Coturnix japonica: one gene and its partners. The protein of the gene in region 2 interacts with the protein of the main gene of each other region in a pairwise test. Links are inferred from orthologs where the notes say so. Each region holds a gene or a part of one and is shown on either strand. Other genes may lie near its edges.

Region 1 (4,725 bases), on a different chromosome or scaffold from region 2:
CCTTAAAATTAGCAGGAAAACTTCACAGCTTCACTTGACCGTACATTCACTGTCTAAAACGATACCTGTTAAGAGTGTGACCAGATAGTAGTTTTTTTCTTTCCTTGATGACTGAAAATTGGAATCCTATAAAGGTATAAATGTCAGGAACTAATGTTTAGTCAGAGATGCAATTTATGCAGCCCATAAACTGTTCCCAGGCCCGATGATACAAGTGTATCAAACTCATAACCAGGCTCTGTGGCTCCCTTTATGCATTTGAAGTGAGATTGAAAGAGAAAGTTTGAGCATCTGTAAGAATACGGGGAGTGTTCTGGGGGATAGTCAGGCATGGATGGGAACTCTGCAGCTAGATCAGTTGTGAGTACGCGGAGCAGAGGGGGTAAGGGAAGGAGACTTAGCGGGAGAATGCAAGAAAGAGCAGCAAAGAAGAGCAGCAAATCTTTCCTTACTGTAATAGTCTTTCCACCACAGCCTTCTGGTGAGCAGCCTCCTCAGGGCTCAAGTTTTCCAGCTCCTTCATTATCGGAGGGGTAAATTCCTCTCCATCATCAGAGGTTTCATCTTCCGATAACCTGGTTTCCCCCATTCCATTGGGGAGATTGGGGATTTCGGGGCAGGACTCCCCTTTCTCTGTCTGCAGGGCATTGATAGCATGCTGACTTTCACTCTGGAGCATGTAGGGTTCCGCTTCGCTCAGTGCCTTGATCAGGGTCTCCTTGGTTAGCCCTGACTCCAGCAGCGCTCCCAGCAGCTCCACTTGAAGATGGCTCAGCTTCGAGACCATGGTCTTCAGGCTGGTGTTTCTTGGGCTTGAGTTCCACGTTATCCTGCTTCCAGCTTCCCTACACCATGTTCCCGAGGTAACACGCCCGACTGTCAGCAGCGGGCACAGCGCAGCCTCCCGCCTTTACGCCCCCCCAAAAAAAACAAAATACAAAATTGAGCCACTTCAGACCCCCCACGACTGTCCTGAGCCAGTGCTGATAAAGGGACCCTTGGCTATCTGTTTACATTGGTAAATTCTCCAAGGTTCATATTTATCTGTGTGCTTAGCAAGTTACTGAACTTTGGACTTCAGCACTGCAGCAGCAGTTCACAAAGTGCAGAGGGAGAGAAAGCAGGGGGAGGGGGAAAGGGAGGGAAGCAGAGAGAGGAAAATGAAGGGATAGGAGGTCTGCCAGCACGGACAAGTAAGCTATGGAAGGAATACTAGGAGAATGGGAGTGGGAAAACAAGGCTTGCTTTTTGGCCCTATTCATTGTAGAGAAGGAAGAGGTAGAGCACCTACAAGGAAGAGTTGCGTTCACCGGTGTTGGAAGGTTGCAGAGCCTACTCTGAGCTCTGGCCGTGGTGGGCTGAGGGCTTTGAGCTGCAAAAATACTGCCTTGGCAGCTTGGATTGCCTTCATGCAGCCCTCCAGTAGAGACAAGTGACCCCCCTGGGTTGGTAGGAGGTGTTCCGAAGACCCACAGGATGTTCTGGAGCTCCTGTTGACTTGTATGGAAGAGCATTGAGTCTTAAATGATCTTTTTGCTTCTGCCTTTGGCTTGCTGGGCATCTTAAGATGCAAACATCAACACCTCCATTAGAACTTGCTACATTTATTGCTGAATTGATGAGAAAAAGCTGTGTATGCACAAAATTCAGCTATTACTCGCACCATTGAGCTTGTGATTCAAGCACATGGTAAGGACTAGCCCTGGGTGCTGGTACATGCTGAGAGTCCCTATCTGCAGCTGCCTTGCTTCTGAGAAGTGCTCTGGGCAGCTTTGGCTCCCGTTTATCACCTGTGCCTTGATACCAGCCCTGCTCTAATGTTCTACTCCCACCTGTTGTTTGAATCCTGAAAACATGCTCTGTAACTTCACTGCAGTACTTTCGGGCAGTTCTCAGGGAATCTTCCCATTTCAAATGGCTGAATTAGGAAATAACTTGGTGTGAACTTAATGGTGCATGAGCATCTTGTAAATAGTTCCTACTTATGTGATCAACAGAAGGACTTAAAACTGTTGTTTTAATGGAAGTTTCCTATGGGCAGCCACTTGCCTTGTTTTATATTGCTTCCATCAAGCCCAAGCGAGGGGGAGCCTACTAGAAGTGTCTCAAAAGCAACTGATATTCCAACACAGTGCTGCTGGATGGCCTGGGCCCCTCTTTTTCCTTTATGGGCAGCATTATCCATGCTCTCGTGGTGCCTGTGACAAGGGGCCAAATCAGCAGCTGAAGGACAAGAGTTTTTTTTTTCAGATCAGACCCCCTCTTCTAGGCCCAGCAAACTGTGCTTGGGCGGCTGGGCTGACCTTCCTACCAGAGCTGTTTCTAAAGATCCACATTTATTGTAATGCAAAAAGAGCATTTAAGAAGTGGTGAGATTTGAGGTTCTCCTATTGATGCTTTGATGCAATTTGTGTGCATTTTACTCCCCATTACAATTTTCCTCATCCCCACCTCACCCTAGCAGACATGCCAACAATACTGGCCAATAGTAACTGTACATTGCAAGTACAGCTTCCAGTCACAATACCTAGTTTATTCACGATGCATCCTTATAATTCAAGGATTTTATGAGCGAGGACAACAGACTGTGGGCACCAAGCAATGAATGACAGAAGATTCTGTCTTTTCCTGTGGTATGAGGATTTCTTAAACTAGGATGGACACTGTCATCATGGTTCTTATTTGAAAGGTTGCCTGGTCTGAGTTCTGTGACTGTATGTGCTTGTTGTATGCTTTGGGGGTGGGGGATGCACAGCCCTGAGTTCACACACAATCATCAGTCTGCCAAGGGAACTGTAAAGAGAAGAAAACATAGCAACAAATGATCTGTGTATATTGTGTGGTTTCAAGGATTCCTTATGCACCCAGAAGCCTTCTGCCTTGATTCTGTGCACCCTGCAGACCTGCAGCTGCGGAGGCTTTTAGAACAGCCTGTCTTGAAGCCAGTGAGATTTGAAGACTGTGAAAACAGAAATGAACGTCTGTTTGTAGGCTGGGACCTCACCGAATGCCACGGCTGGATGCCACGTGGAGAACACTGAGCTGAGTATGGAATCTATTCAAACACTGGGAAGGAGGTAAGTCTACTCAATCACTTTAATCTAAAGAGCAAACCTAGAGAGCTGTCCATTATAAACTATAGGTACATAAACAACAAAGAAAACAAGGAAGAAAGAAGTGTTCTTTAAACAGCTCCATCATCACCTTTATCTTCACTGTAACCCACCAGTCTGTGTTAGTGAATGGTCTGAGGCTCTGTTCAGTATTTCAGGTTCTCTGGAGCAGGAAAACTAGTGATCTTTGTAAAGTTTCTTCAGGGTTCCAAATTATGAGCCATCAGACCATGGACCTGGGGAAATAGGGAGGAGGCTGCTGCCATATATCACCTAGCACTCCTATTTTATGCACTGACACAACAGATTGCAACATGGTATTTCTCAGGTTTTTACCATTTCCATAACATGCTGCTGGGAGGTGTGAGGTATTAAGGATAGCAAAGGACAAGGTGGGAAGCAGCAAAGCTTTGAGGCTGGATTTGAGTTCTAGTAGCAGAGCAGAAAGTAAATAGTAGAGTGCCACAACCCAAACAACATACTCCTGTAACTAAATTATACCTCACAGATTTTGTATTGAGAATGAGCATTTGAAAGAAAAGGAGTTTGTTTTGCTACACTCATTTTCATTTATTACCAGTGTTTAGAATGTGTTGATTTCCTTAATTGCAACAATTTGCTGGGCCGTGACTTGGTTCTTAAATTACTCAGACTGCTGTAATCGTGGTGGTTGTGGAAGGGACAGCTCTTGAAGTGTGGAAACATGGAATGATTTTGCTCATTCTTCTCTTGTTTCCAGTGTCTGTTTTTGAATTTCTTGCTGCAAAATTGTTTTCTTTTCCTTTTTCCTTAAATTCGGTGCTTTGGTGCTAAGACATGAGCAGCTCTACTACACTAAACTGGACAGAAGTCACAGCAGGATCATGAATGTTTTATTAACAAATCGATTTAGATGCACATTTGAGAAACATATCAGTTAGTAATCACACGGTCTGATTTCTATTTTATTTTAATAGCAAACGTAATAAAGACTCTTTAAACATGCTGGAATGCTTTGCACTGTTGTATGTACACCTTAATACAAGTTCTATGTTTTTCAGTTATGATTTTCTTCATTTCTCCTGAAGTACAGGCAGCTTAGGCCATTTTAGGTAAGGATGTGCCCACTTCCTCCAGTCTTCCTCCATTAGCTGTTCCAACGTAATCTTTCTCTGCTGCAGGTAATAGAGTCATTGAACTGTGGATTACTTAAGACTGACAACTGCTGCATGAAAGTATAAGTGGGTATACAGTAGGATTTTCTTATTAGTTAGACTTATTAGTCTTTATTCTCCTTACTATACCAGGGAAAAACCCAAATAATAGACAGCGGGGTCCTTGTGAACAGAATAGAGATCAGATAATAGACTCCCAAAGCCTGAATTCTTGAATCAATACGACTGTTACCTTTGTTTTCATGTGCTGAGTAATACCCATCCTTAAGTGTTCCTGATGGAATAACGCAGTAATGGGCTAAGGTAAAGGCAGCCCAGTGTGACTTCAAGGAGCACAAAGGGAAAGAAGTCTTACTATTTCTATGACAGAAATGCTAGCAGAGCAAGCTTGTATGGGTCTGTGAGCATGGTGGGAACGTTACCATTGGTGAAAGAAAGGCAGAGAAGTGGTTCTCTTA
Region 2 (4,396 bases):
AGCTTCCACAGCCAGCTGGATTTTGTTAAAAAGGTACAGACAACATAATAAACATAGATTAGTGATGTGAGATCTCCCTCCACAAATGCAGAAACACCTTGGGTATGTTACAGCAATGCACACAAATTAAGCTGACACTGACCCAGCCTCAAATAAGCACAGCTTTAAATTAGGCAAAAAGAGAGGGGGAAAAGAGCAGAAATCTCTGCCCTGTGACAGGCATGGTCCCATCACAGGGCTGCAAAATGCTCTGAACAAACACCTTACCCAACAGAGCTCGGTTAATCATTAAAAGCAAATCTAGAGTCCGTCCCATCCGAAAGAAATGAAAGCAGCCAGGCAAAGTATCTCCCAGCCCCGTTTTCACACGTACACAGAGGAAAATCACAACTGCCCTGTTGACACTTCTCAGCAGAAACATGTGAGATCACTCTGGCAGAAAGATGCACACGGCTGGCAGTTAAGGGCTGATTTATACCCTCTGAGAGAAAATAGCATTATAAGGGAGCTGTGTAATCAGTAGATACACTGTAATTAGTGTATCCATGATTTTCCACTTTGCTACATCATTGCTTCCTTAACCTGCCCTTGCCACTGTACGCAGGGGCCGCAATGAGGCAAGCACCATTCTTGCAACCCAAACCACTGCCCAGAGAACATTCTGCTGGCCTTTTTCAACCTTGCACACAATGCCAGCTCCTGGTTTCACTGCTGGAAGCTGTGCAGCACTCCTCCTCCTGTATTCCACATCAAAACTTCCAGCTTCAGATTTACCAACAGGTACTGATCTACTCAGGAACTGAGCTGCCTTCCAAGCCCCCTCCCCCCACACATAGGCACAGAACAGAATAGATGCTCGTTTTTCCTTCTTGTTATCACAGTAAGTAAACTTACAATGGACAACAAAGGAAGTACGTGCTTTCCTCTAACAGGTCTGCCGGAGAAACAAATTGTCTCTGTGGCATTCAGGGATTCTAAAAGCAAGATGTGCGTGAGCACACAGAATCCTTAGAGTTAGAAGGGACTTCTGACGGCCATTTAAGTTCAACTCCCCTGCAATGCACAGGGACACCACAGCTCGATCAGGTTGCCCAGGGCCTGGTCCAGCCTCACTCTGAAAGTCTCCAGGGACTGGGCATCAACCACATCCCCACGCAACCCGTGCCAGTGCCTCAGCATCCTCTCTGCGGAGCTCGAGGGGCCCCCTGCGACAACCCCGGTCCAGGGAGACGCGTGGGGCCGAGGGCCGCGGCCGTCGTGGGTGGACCCGACCCCTCGCCACGCCTCCCGCAGCCCCGCCACGCCGCCCGCCCCACCGCCCGCACAGCGCCCGGCCCGCACCGCCGCGGAGGACACGAACTGCCGCGGGCCATGGTAAGTGGGCAGCGGGCAGCGCGGCCGCCGCCCCGAGGGCGAGGACGGGGAAGGAGGGCTAAGGCGGCGGCTCCGGCGATCGAGGAGAGGGGCGGGAGGAGAGGGAGGAAGGAGCGGAGCCGGGCGGTGAGGTTAATAAGTAACGCGGGCAGCTCTGCTGGTCGCCGCCGGCTTACCGGTGTGCTGGGGGACGGAAGGAAAAGCTGCGGCGCGCCGAGCGTGGCCCTGCCGAAAACCTGCCGTGCACGCGTGGCCCCGCTCGTGCTGCTCCGGCTGCACAGCCCACGAGGGGCCTCGTCACTGCCTGCTCGTGCCAGGGCCGAGCCCTCTGCCTAACGCAGGTGGCACAACACCCTTACGGGGACGACGATGTTAGGGCAGGGAGGGTCGGTTTGTGGCCGGACAGCCCTGAGGGGTGAGCTCTCCCCATTTCCCATGCTTAGGTCCTTAGCCTGTGTTGCACAACGCTGTCCTGCTGGCAAAAAAACAAACAACAACCAAACAATGCCTCCATGGTGGAGAGCCAGCAGAAGAGAACAGAATAATTGCATTACCCCTAGTGCAAACCATGTGTTTTATAAGAGTGAGCACGCACGAAGGCATGGACGTGGCCTACCAAAGCAGCGTCCTGAACGGGGACAGCAGCAGTGCCCGGCCCCACGTTGCTCAGTTGCTAAGCCACCCGACCGCCTTACCACGTCACCGCCAGGGCCGAGGGTTTATTGCCCTGAGCAGTGTTTGCTCGCTGCCTCGAAAGGTGGAGCTCTGGAGGGGGTGCAAGCCTAAATGTGGCACAAAGCAAAGGACGGCGTCGGGGGCTGGCAGAGTGGAAGGCTGTCAGTAAATGTAGGAGGAGAGCACGCTGTTGCACGGCTGGCATCCATCACACACAGGTGGCTCGGTCTTCCTTAGGTGCAAAACCAAGGAAGAGCCTACAAAAGCAGCATCAGTTCCTCGGTTGTCCTGTGCTTCACTGACTGCAGTCCTTAGGACTCTTTGCTTGGGTATATGGATGCTCAGAAAGAGCAGACTGCATTGGTTGAGACTAACATCTAACTTGCCAGACTTTGTCCTTCAGCACAAAGGAAAACTAATTGCAAAAACATGTTGGTCTTTGCTAGTGAGAAGAAACAGTTCTCATCCATTCAGAAAGAATTCAACTGCTAGAATAGCATCTTCCACATAGATCAGCACCCATCCCCAACTCAACACCACCCTCCCCACTGAGCCAGCAGACACCCAAAGAACCCTCTGCTTCAGTTTCATCTTTGCCTCATACACAAGCTGAAGCCAAGAACTGGAGCTTTTTTCTCCCATTTAAGACCAAATAACAACAGCTGTGCCAGAGAGTGGAAGACAATACTAATTCACAGTCCCTCCCTCTGCCCTTTGTTACTCCCAGACAAACAGCCTCTTAAAATCCATCATAGCATCGGGGAGACTGAAAGGAGCTGAATTCCAATGAAGTGTGACTCACCTGTGATTCATGCTGCATTTCTTCTCCTCTAGAGAAGGTTTCCAGCACAACTGCCCTGCAAATAAACCTCCTGCTTCCAGAGGGTACCTCACAAACTGCAAAAGCAAGCAGGTCTTAGTTCTGGAAGTCATTACAGGTTCCTCCCAACCCCACCCCACAGAAAACTGAATTGTGCATTTTGGAAGCTTAACCACACACAGACACCATTTCTTGGTACTGCAGGCTATAATGAAAACATACAGCAGTAAGGTGTCCCAGGAGGCTCTATTTGTTAGGTGGTGCAGATCAGAAGACAGACTGGGCTTCACTTGACCTAGGTATGTGCCAAAAGGTACCCAAGTTGGGGAGCAGAGGACAGCACTGATATCCCCCCATCCTTAGCATCCCGCAGTTCAGGGCTGCACATGCATTCCATGCCTCGCAACCACTTTGACCTTCAACTCCACAATCCATGGGTTTGCCTCATTTCTTTGCATATCTGCTTCCTCCTACCTCTGCCACGCTGATCTGCTTCTCTTCCTTTCCTTGGTGCCAGGCCGGTAAAGCCCACAGGTTGAATGCAGAGGAGAGGGAGCAGCTGCTGCCAAACCTGAGAGCCGTGGGGTGGAACGAGGTGGAAGGAAGAGATGCCATCTTCAAAGAGTTCCACTTCAAGGACTTCAATCGGGTATGAGCATTGGTGATACCAAGTTTGACAGTTTTACAGAGCAGAGAGTCCCACCTGCATGGCTCAGCCATAGAAACCCCTCTTTTTTCTAAAACGTGATAGCTCAGCAAGATAATCTACCCAAGACACCAAAGTCCTCAATTCATCACACAGTTTGTCTGGGAAAAAGTTCCTAAAGAAGACCCATAGAAAAGCCCAACAGGGATACAGAACATCCATGTCTTGCCATTTGCCTAGGTCCCTACAGACACAGGGTACAAAATTAATAGTATAGGGGTCAAATAGCAATATAGCACAGGGTAAGCAGCTCACAGCTAACTTTTCTTTTTATTCCACCGAGCAGGCCTTTGGCTTCATGACCAGAGTGGCTCTACAAGCAGAAAAACTGGATCACCACCCTGAATGGTTCAACGTGTACAATAAGGTAAGAAGCATGGATGGCAAGAACAATCAGAGCTCTTCAGGGAGCTGAACCCATTTGTCAGGCATAATGCTGCACTCTCAGCAGCAAGTCCTGGTCAGATCTGCAGAACTTCTTCCCTTGGATGCTGTTCCTTTGGCATACCACAGACAGCCTGTAGCTATGACTGACAAGCCCTCACCTCCTCCTTTTTTTCTGCCCAGCTGGGCAGTAGCTATGGGTGCACTAGCACCAGTTGCTTTTTTAGGTCAGTACCAGAAGTAGCAGCAGTGGGGGAACCTGCTCCTGTTCTGTCAGCCAGCAGCACTCTTTCTTTGTCTGGTTTAGGTTCACATCACCTTGAGCACCCATGAATGCACAGGTTTATCCGAGAGAGACATCAACTTGGCCAGCTTCATCGAGCAGGTTGCAGCTTCTCTCTCCTGACCAGAGAGAGACGTATGAAGCCAAAAATCAG
Region 3 (4,573 bases), on a different chromosome or scaffold from region 2:
GGGGAAGAGCAATAGGGTGAGAGAGATGGACCAGAAAACAATATCCACTTCATTAGCCAGGTGGCTCCGAATGTGTGGAAATAGGACAAAGTCTAGGTCACCCACTGTGACAGAACATTATTATCATGCGATGCCATGAAGCCGTGCAAAGACCAAGTCAAAGCTCACTGGCCCACTTGAAAGGGACAGGGGAGCTGCCCCGGCCCGAGCTGTTCCCAGGCTGCGGTCCCACGCACGGCCCTGTGGCCACGACCAGCAGCAGTGCGGGGTCAGCTGCGTCTGAGCCCATGTCCCAGTGATGGGAGTGCGGCTGTCAGGGACCCAGCAGGCAGATGTGTGGGTTTGAGAGCAGGGCAGAGGGAAAGCTCTTGGCCAGGCTGCTGGGAGCAGGGCTGGGTCTTAGGCTGGAGCCCTGGGGGCTTTTCTGTCCTTTCTTCTGTACACTGTGCTCATGCAAAACCTGAACCATCACACACCTGTCTGCCGGATCCCAGCCAGGCATGCAGGGAGGTTTCCTGCTCCCTCAACACACTGCCCCACATTTTCCCGGTGGGCTCAGTGAGGGCAGAGAGTCCTGCCCCAAATGGGCTCCTACAGTGCTCAGGGTCTGCCAGGCGCTGGTGGCTCTTGGGACATTTTAGGGCTCCTGGAGCCCTCGAGGTGGGCAGGCAGCGATGGCTCCAGGGATGCTATGACAGTCTGAACCTGGGCTGAGTGGTGGGCATGGAGTGGCCATCTCAGAAAGCACTGCCACCCATTGCCAGGGCATGGCTGGAGGGCATTGGGCAGTGCAGCTTGCTGGGATGGGAGGTGGTGGGTGAAGGGTTTGGATATCGTATTTCCCTACGTTGTGTTCAGTGATGTGCTGGTGCCTCTCGTATCTCGCCTGCTTTGGTTCGGGTCAATTTGCTGATCTTTTGTGACTCAGTGCGTTCACAGCAGGAGGAGAAGCTCTTTTTGTTCAGGTCCCCGATGCCTTCCGCTGCCCCCACCCCCGCGGCTATCGGGGCTCGAAGGGCACTCCGCATTCCCGAGCAGCGCTACCCCGCAGAGTCCCATTCGCCGCATTGCCACGACTCCTCCACGGAGCAGTGCCCGACCCCGCGACGGGACCCCTACGGGACCCTGCCTGAGGACCCTCGGACCCGGCCCCGCGCAGCCCCACGGTTTTATACAGCGGGGCTCAGCACTGAGCGCCGGGGCTCAGCCCCGAGGCAGCGCCCGGCTCCGCGCTGTGCCGCTCCGAGCGGCCCCCGACGGCACTTCGCGCTCCGCGCCGGGGCCGGGCCGCTCCCCCGGAGCGCCGCCACCGCTCGGGGCCGGGCCGGGCCGAACCGAACCCCGCTTCGCCGCTGCCCCGAACGCTCCGCGCCGCTCCTCGGGGCCTCACGGCGGCCGCGGGCAAAGTCCGCCCCAGCGCGCCCGATAAGGGCCGGGCGGGGGCCGGGCCGTGGCGGGCGGGGACGCGGGGTTCGCTCCCGGGGGAGAGGCTCTCTCGGAGCTGATTTGCATAAGGTATAATGCCTAATAGAGGCGGTCATGGCTAGGTAGAGGGCGGCCCGCGCCCCGCACAGCCTGCCAGCCGGGGCGGAGCGGCAGGTGCCGGAGGGAGGCGGGCCGGGCCGGGCCGAGCGCGGGGAGACCCGGGACCATGGTGTCCCAGCTGAGCGCCCTGCAGCGGGAGCTCCTGGGCGCCCTGCTCAGCTCCGGGGCCACCAAGGAGGGGCTGATCCGCGCCCTGGAGGACATGGTGCCCGCCGCCGGCTTCGGCGTCAAACTGGAGAGCCTGCCGCTGTCCCCCGGCGGGCCGCCCGACGGCAAGCCCGGCTTCGTGCCGCTGGCCAACGGGCACGGCAAGGGCAAGCTGTCCGGCGACGAGGGCTCGGAGGACGGCGACGACTTCGACACGCCGCAGATTCTCCGCGAGCTGCAGGCGCTCAACACCGAGGAGGCCGTGGAGCAGCGGGCAGAAGTGGACAGGATGATCAGGTAACCGGCGGAGCGCTTCGCTCCCGCGGCCCCGTGCTCCGCTCCGGGGTTCGCTCCCGAGGCGCCCGTCCCGGCAGGGCGCTGCCGCCGCCCCCTCTCTCGCACCGAGAGCGGCGCGGTGCCGGGCGGTGCCGCCGCCCCGTCGGGTGTTCGTCGCCCTCCGCGGTGGAGGGGTCAGGGGCGCACGGGCTCGCGGCCGCCCGGGGCTCGGCTCCGTCCTCCCTCCGCGCCGGGAGATAAAACATAAACTGCAGCACGTGGAGCTCGGAGTGTTATTAATTTATTTCTATAAATCATCAACAGAAAGATACACAAAGAGCCGCGATTAGAGGCGGGTTATTCATTGCCGGAGTTGTAAACCAGGCGGGGAGGGGGAACGAGGAAACCCCCAAACGCGGCGGTTCGGGTCCCGGGGGATGCGGTTCCGCGCCCCGCTCTGGCCGAGCCCGTTCGCTCCGCGCCGTGCGGGGCCGCGCAGAGCCGGGCCGGGCCGTCATGGAGCGGCGGAGCAGCCCTGCGCTCGTCGGGGGCGATTCCCCGCAAGTCCCGGTGCCCGCAGCGGGGCTCCGCTCCCAATACACGGAGGCGGATTCTGCGTGGGAGATCCCCGCGTGTCCCCAGCCCCGTTCGTGCCCGTCCGTGCGGCCGGGCAGCCCAGACACATCGGCGGCAGCGCTGGGGCTCGGATGGGACGCTCGGGAGCGGGAGGGGACACCGGTGCGGGCCGCCACCCGCGCGCCGGGCGCTGCCGCCGTCGCTCTGCCCCGTTCCCTGCCGCTGCGCCCCCGGGGGTGCGTGAGGGCTGTGCCCGCGTCGCAGTTCTCCCACAGGTGTTTCTGTGCAAAGTTTGCCTTCGGTGCAAACAAGAGCAGGCACATGTCCCTGAGGAGCCTTCTGCAAAGAGCTTCTGTTTGCTCTACGAGAGCCCTTTGTACTTGGAGAAAGGCGGCCGGGGCAGGAGCGACGGGAGCCGTCGATCTCTGCCCCTCCGTGCGGCTGAGCCCCCTCCGCTACCACCCCGCGACCCCCGGCTCCGCTCCGACGCTGCCCACGCGGCCGCAGAGGTGCGCGGCCCCGACCTGTGCCGCGCTGCCCCGTGGGCAGCTCCGTGGGCCCCAAAGGGCTCCGCGCTGGGGGAGCTCTGACCCGCGCTGTGCCCCGCTGTGTGCGCAGGGAGATGCAGATTAGATAGATCCCCGATGGAGGGAGCCGGCTTTATAATCCATCTGTATAAATTCTTGGCATTTTTCTCGGAGGATGTGGAGCTTATTTACCTGTTTCCAAGGCTGACCCAGAGGGCGAGCGGGTGGGGGCCTGGGGGACAGGGATGGGCGCTGCCCCCCTCCCCCCTCCCCGGGCAGTGCTGCCCACACTCGGCCGTACTAACGCGGCGCTCAGCTCGGTGCCAGTGGCCGCGCGGGGCGGAGAAGGGCCGCGGGGTGAGAGCTGTGAGCTGGTTTGCAGTGCCGCACAGCGCACCTGGGGCATTGCGCCTTTATTTCTTCCTGCGTGTAAAATTCATCCCCATGGAGGTTTGGGGACAGAACCCCCACATTGGTTTGTGCCGAGTTGTTGAATGGAAATGTTTTCCTCTCTGGCTTTTCAGGTTCACCAAAAAGAGAGAGAAAAAAAATAAATAAATAAAAAAGAGAAGAGGTGAACAAACACTCAAACGTTTCATTTTGGGTCAAGTCCAAACATTTTGTTTAACATGAAACAAAATGTTTGGGTTTGGTTTCAGGCTGTTTAACCCTTCTGAATACGGTCAAGTTGATTTGTAAAGAAAATCGTTGCTCAGAAATTCAGAGCTGAGGGGTTGTTTGCAAAGCACAGGAACGGAGCGCTTTGGAAATGCTGAAGTTAAAAATCATTCCAATATTAAAGTGAAGGGATATGTGAGGACTTCTGGACTCATTCCCACTTTGTTTGTTGGTTGGTTTGTTTGTTTGTTTGTTTTCCCCAGCCCAAATACTGGGAATAAAACTCCATTTCAATTCCGAAATCACATCTGTAACCCAAAGTCACTTGTTTTCATGGTGTTCACTGGAGTGTTGGCTCCAGGCTCCGGCAAAGCGATGCCCTTGTGTTAGCCAGGCTGCTGTCAGGACAAGCTCTGTTCCACCAACTCATTAGGACCCAGTAATTATTGAACAGGGGCAGGATGAAGCCCCGCTCCCACAGCAGTGCGCTCCCTTCACCCGGGCTCGGGGCGCACGGCTCCATCCCCGCAGTGGGTACCCCGGCTGTGGGCACTCCTTGGGAACTGAGCAATTTTGTTTCCTTGCTGCATTCGAGACAAAAAGTAAGAAACCTTTTTGTTGGGCATTTCCATCTTGACAGGATGAAGGATCCAAAATAATGAATGAATTGGAAAAGCGCTTGGATGGTTATTCCAAGCATTATTTGAGTGCACAACTGTGACCAGGCTCAGGTTCCACACCGATTTCTCAGTGTTGAACCATTTCCTTTCACTCCATGTTGTTGGGTGCTGTGAGATGAGCCGTGGGGCCGGGGCACACAGTGGGTGTGTTGGCCGCCCCGTCCACCGTTGCGTTGTGCCTCCATTAGGGAATGCGTGCCCTGT

Evidence for each region.
Region 1: the proteins of PCBD1 (region 2) and HNF1A interact in binary tests that used the Homo sapiens proteins (3 or more experiments, as listed by UniProt). The link is inferred for Coturnix japonica from reciprocal best matches to the Homo sapiens genes PCBD1 and HNF1A.
Region 3: the proteins of PCBD1 (region 2) and HNF1B interact in binary tests that used the Homo sapiens proteins (3 or more experiments, as listed by UniProt). The link is inferred for Coturnix japonica from reciprocal best matches to the Homo sapiens genes PCBD1 and HNF1B.

The regions. Positions count from the first base shown.
Region 1 is NC_029530.1:8,078,438-8,083,162, forward strand, and holds the start of HNF1A (hepatocyte nuclear factor 1-alpha), read right to left. Parts: upstream 2,853-4,725; 5' UTR 788-2,852; coding exon 453-787; intron 1-452. Other genes in the region: SPPL3 (signal peptide peptidase-like 3), read left to right, coding at 2,992-3,077. UniProt on the Homo sapiens protein: Transcriptional activator that regulates the tissue specific expression of multiple genes, especially in pancreatic islet cells and in liver. Binds to the inverted palindrome 5'-GTTAATNATTAAC-3'.
Region 2 is NC_029521.1:9,422,204-9,426,599, forward strand, and holds the start of PCBD1 (pterin-4-alpha-carbinolamine dehydratase), read left to right. Parts: upstream 1-1,248; 5' UTR 1,249-1,371; coding exon 1,372-1,374; intron 1,375-1,550; exon of another isoform or gene 1,551-2,440; intron 2,441-3,386; coding exon 3,387-3,518; intron 3,519-3,861; coding exon 3,862-3,942; intron 3,943-4,266; coding exon 4,267-4,365; 3' UTR 4,366-4,396. UniProt on the Homo sapiens protein: Involved in tetrahydrobiopterin biosynthesis. Seems to both prevent the formation of 7-pterins and accelerate the formation of quinonoid-BH2. Coactivator for HNF1A-dependent transcription.
Region 3 is NC_029534.1:7,401,008-7,405,580, reverse strand, and holds the start of HNF1B (hepatocyte nuclear factor 1-beta), read left to right. Parts: upstream 1-1,489; 5' UTR 1,490-1,651; coding exon 1,652-1,989; intron 1,990-4,573. UniProt on the Homo sapiens protein: Transcription factor that binds to the inverted palindrome 5'-GTTAATNATTAAC-3'. Binds to the FPC element in the cAMP regulatory unit of the PLAU gene. Transcriptional activity is increased by coactivator PCBD1.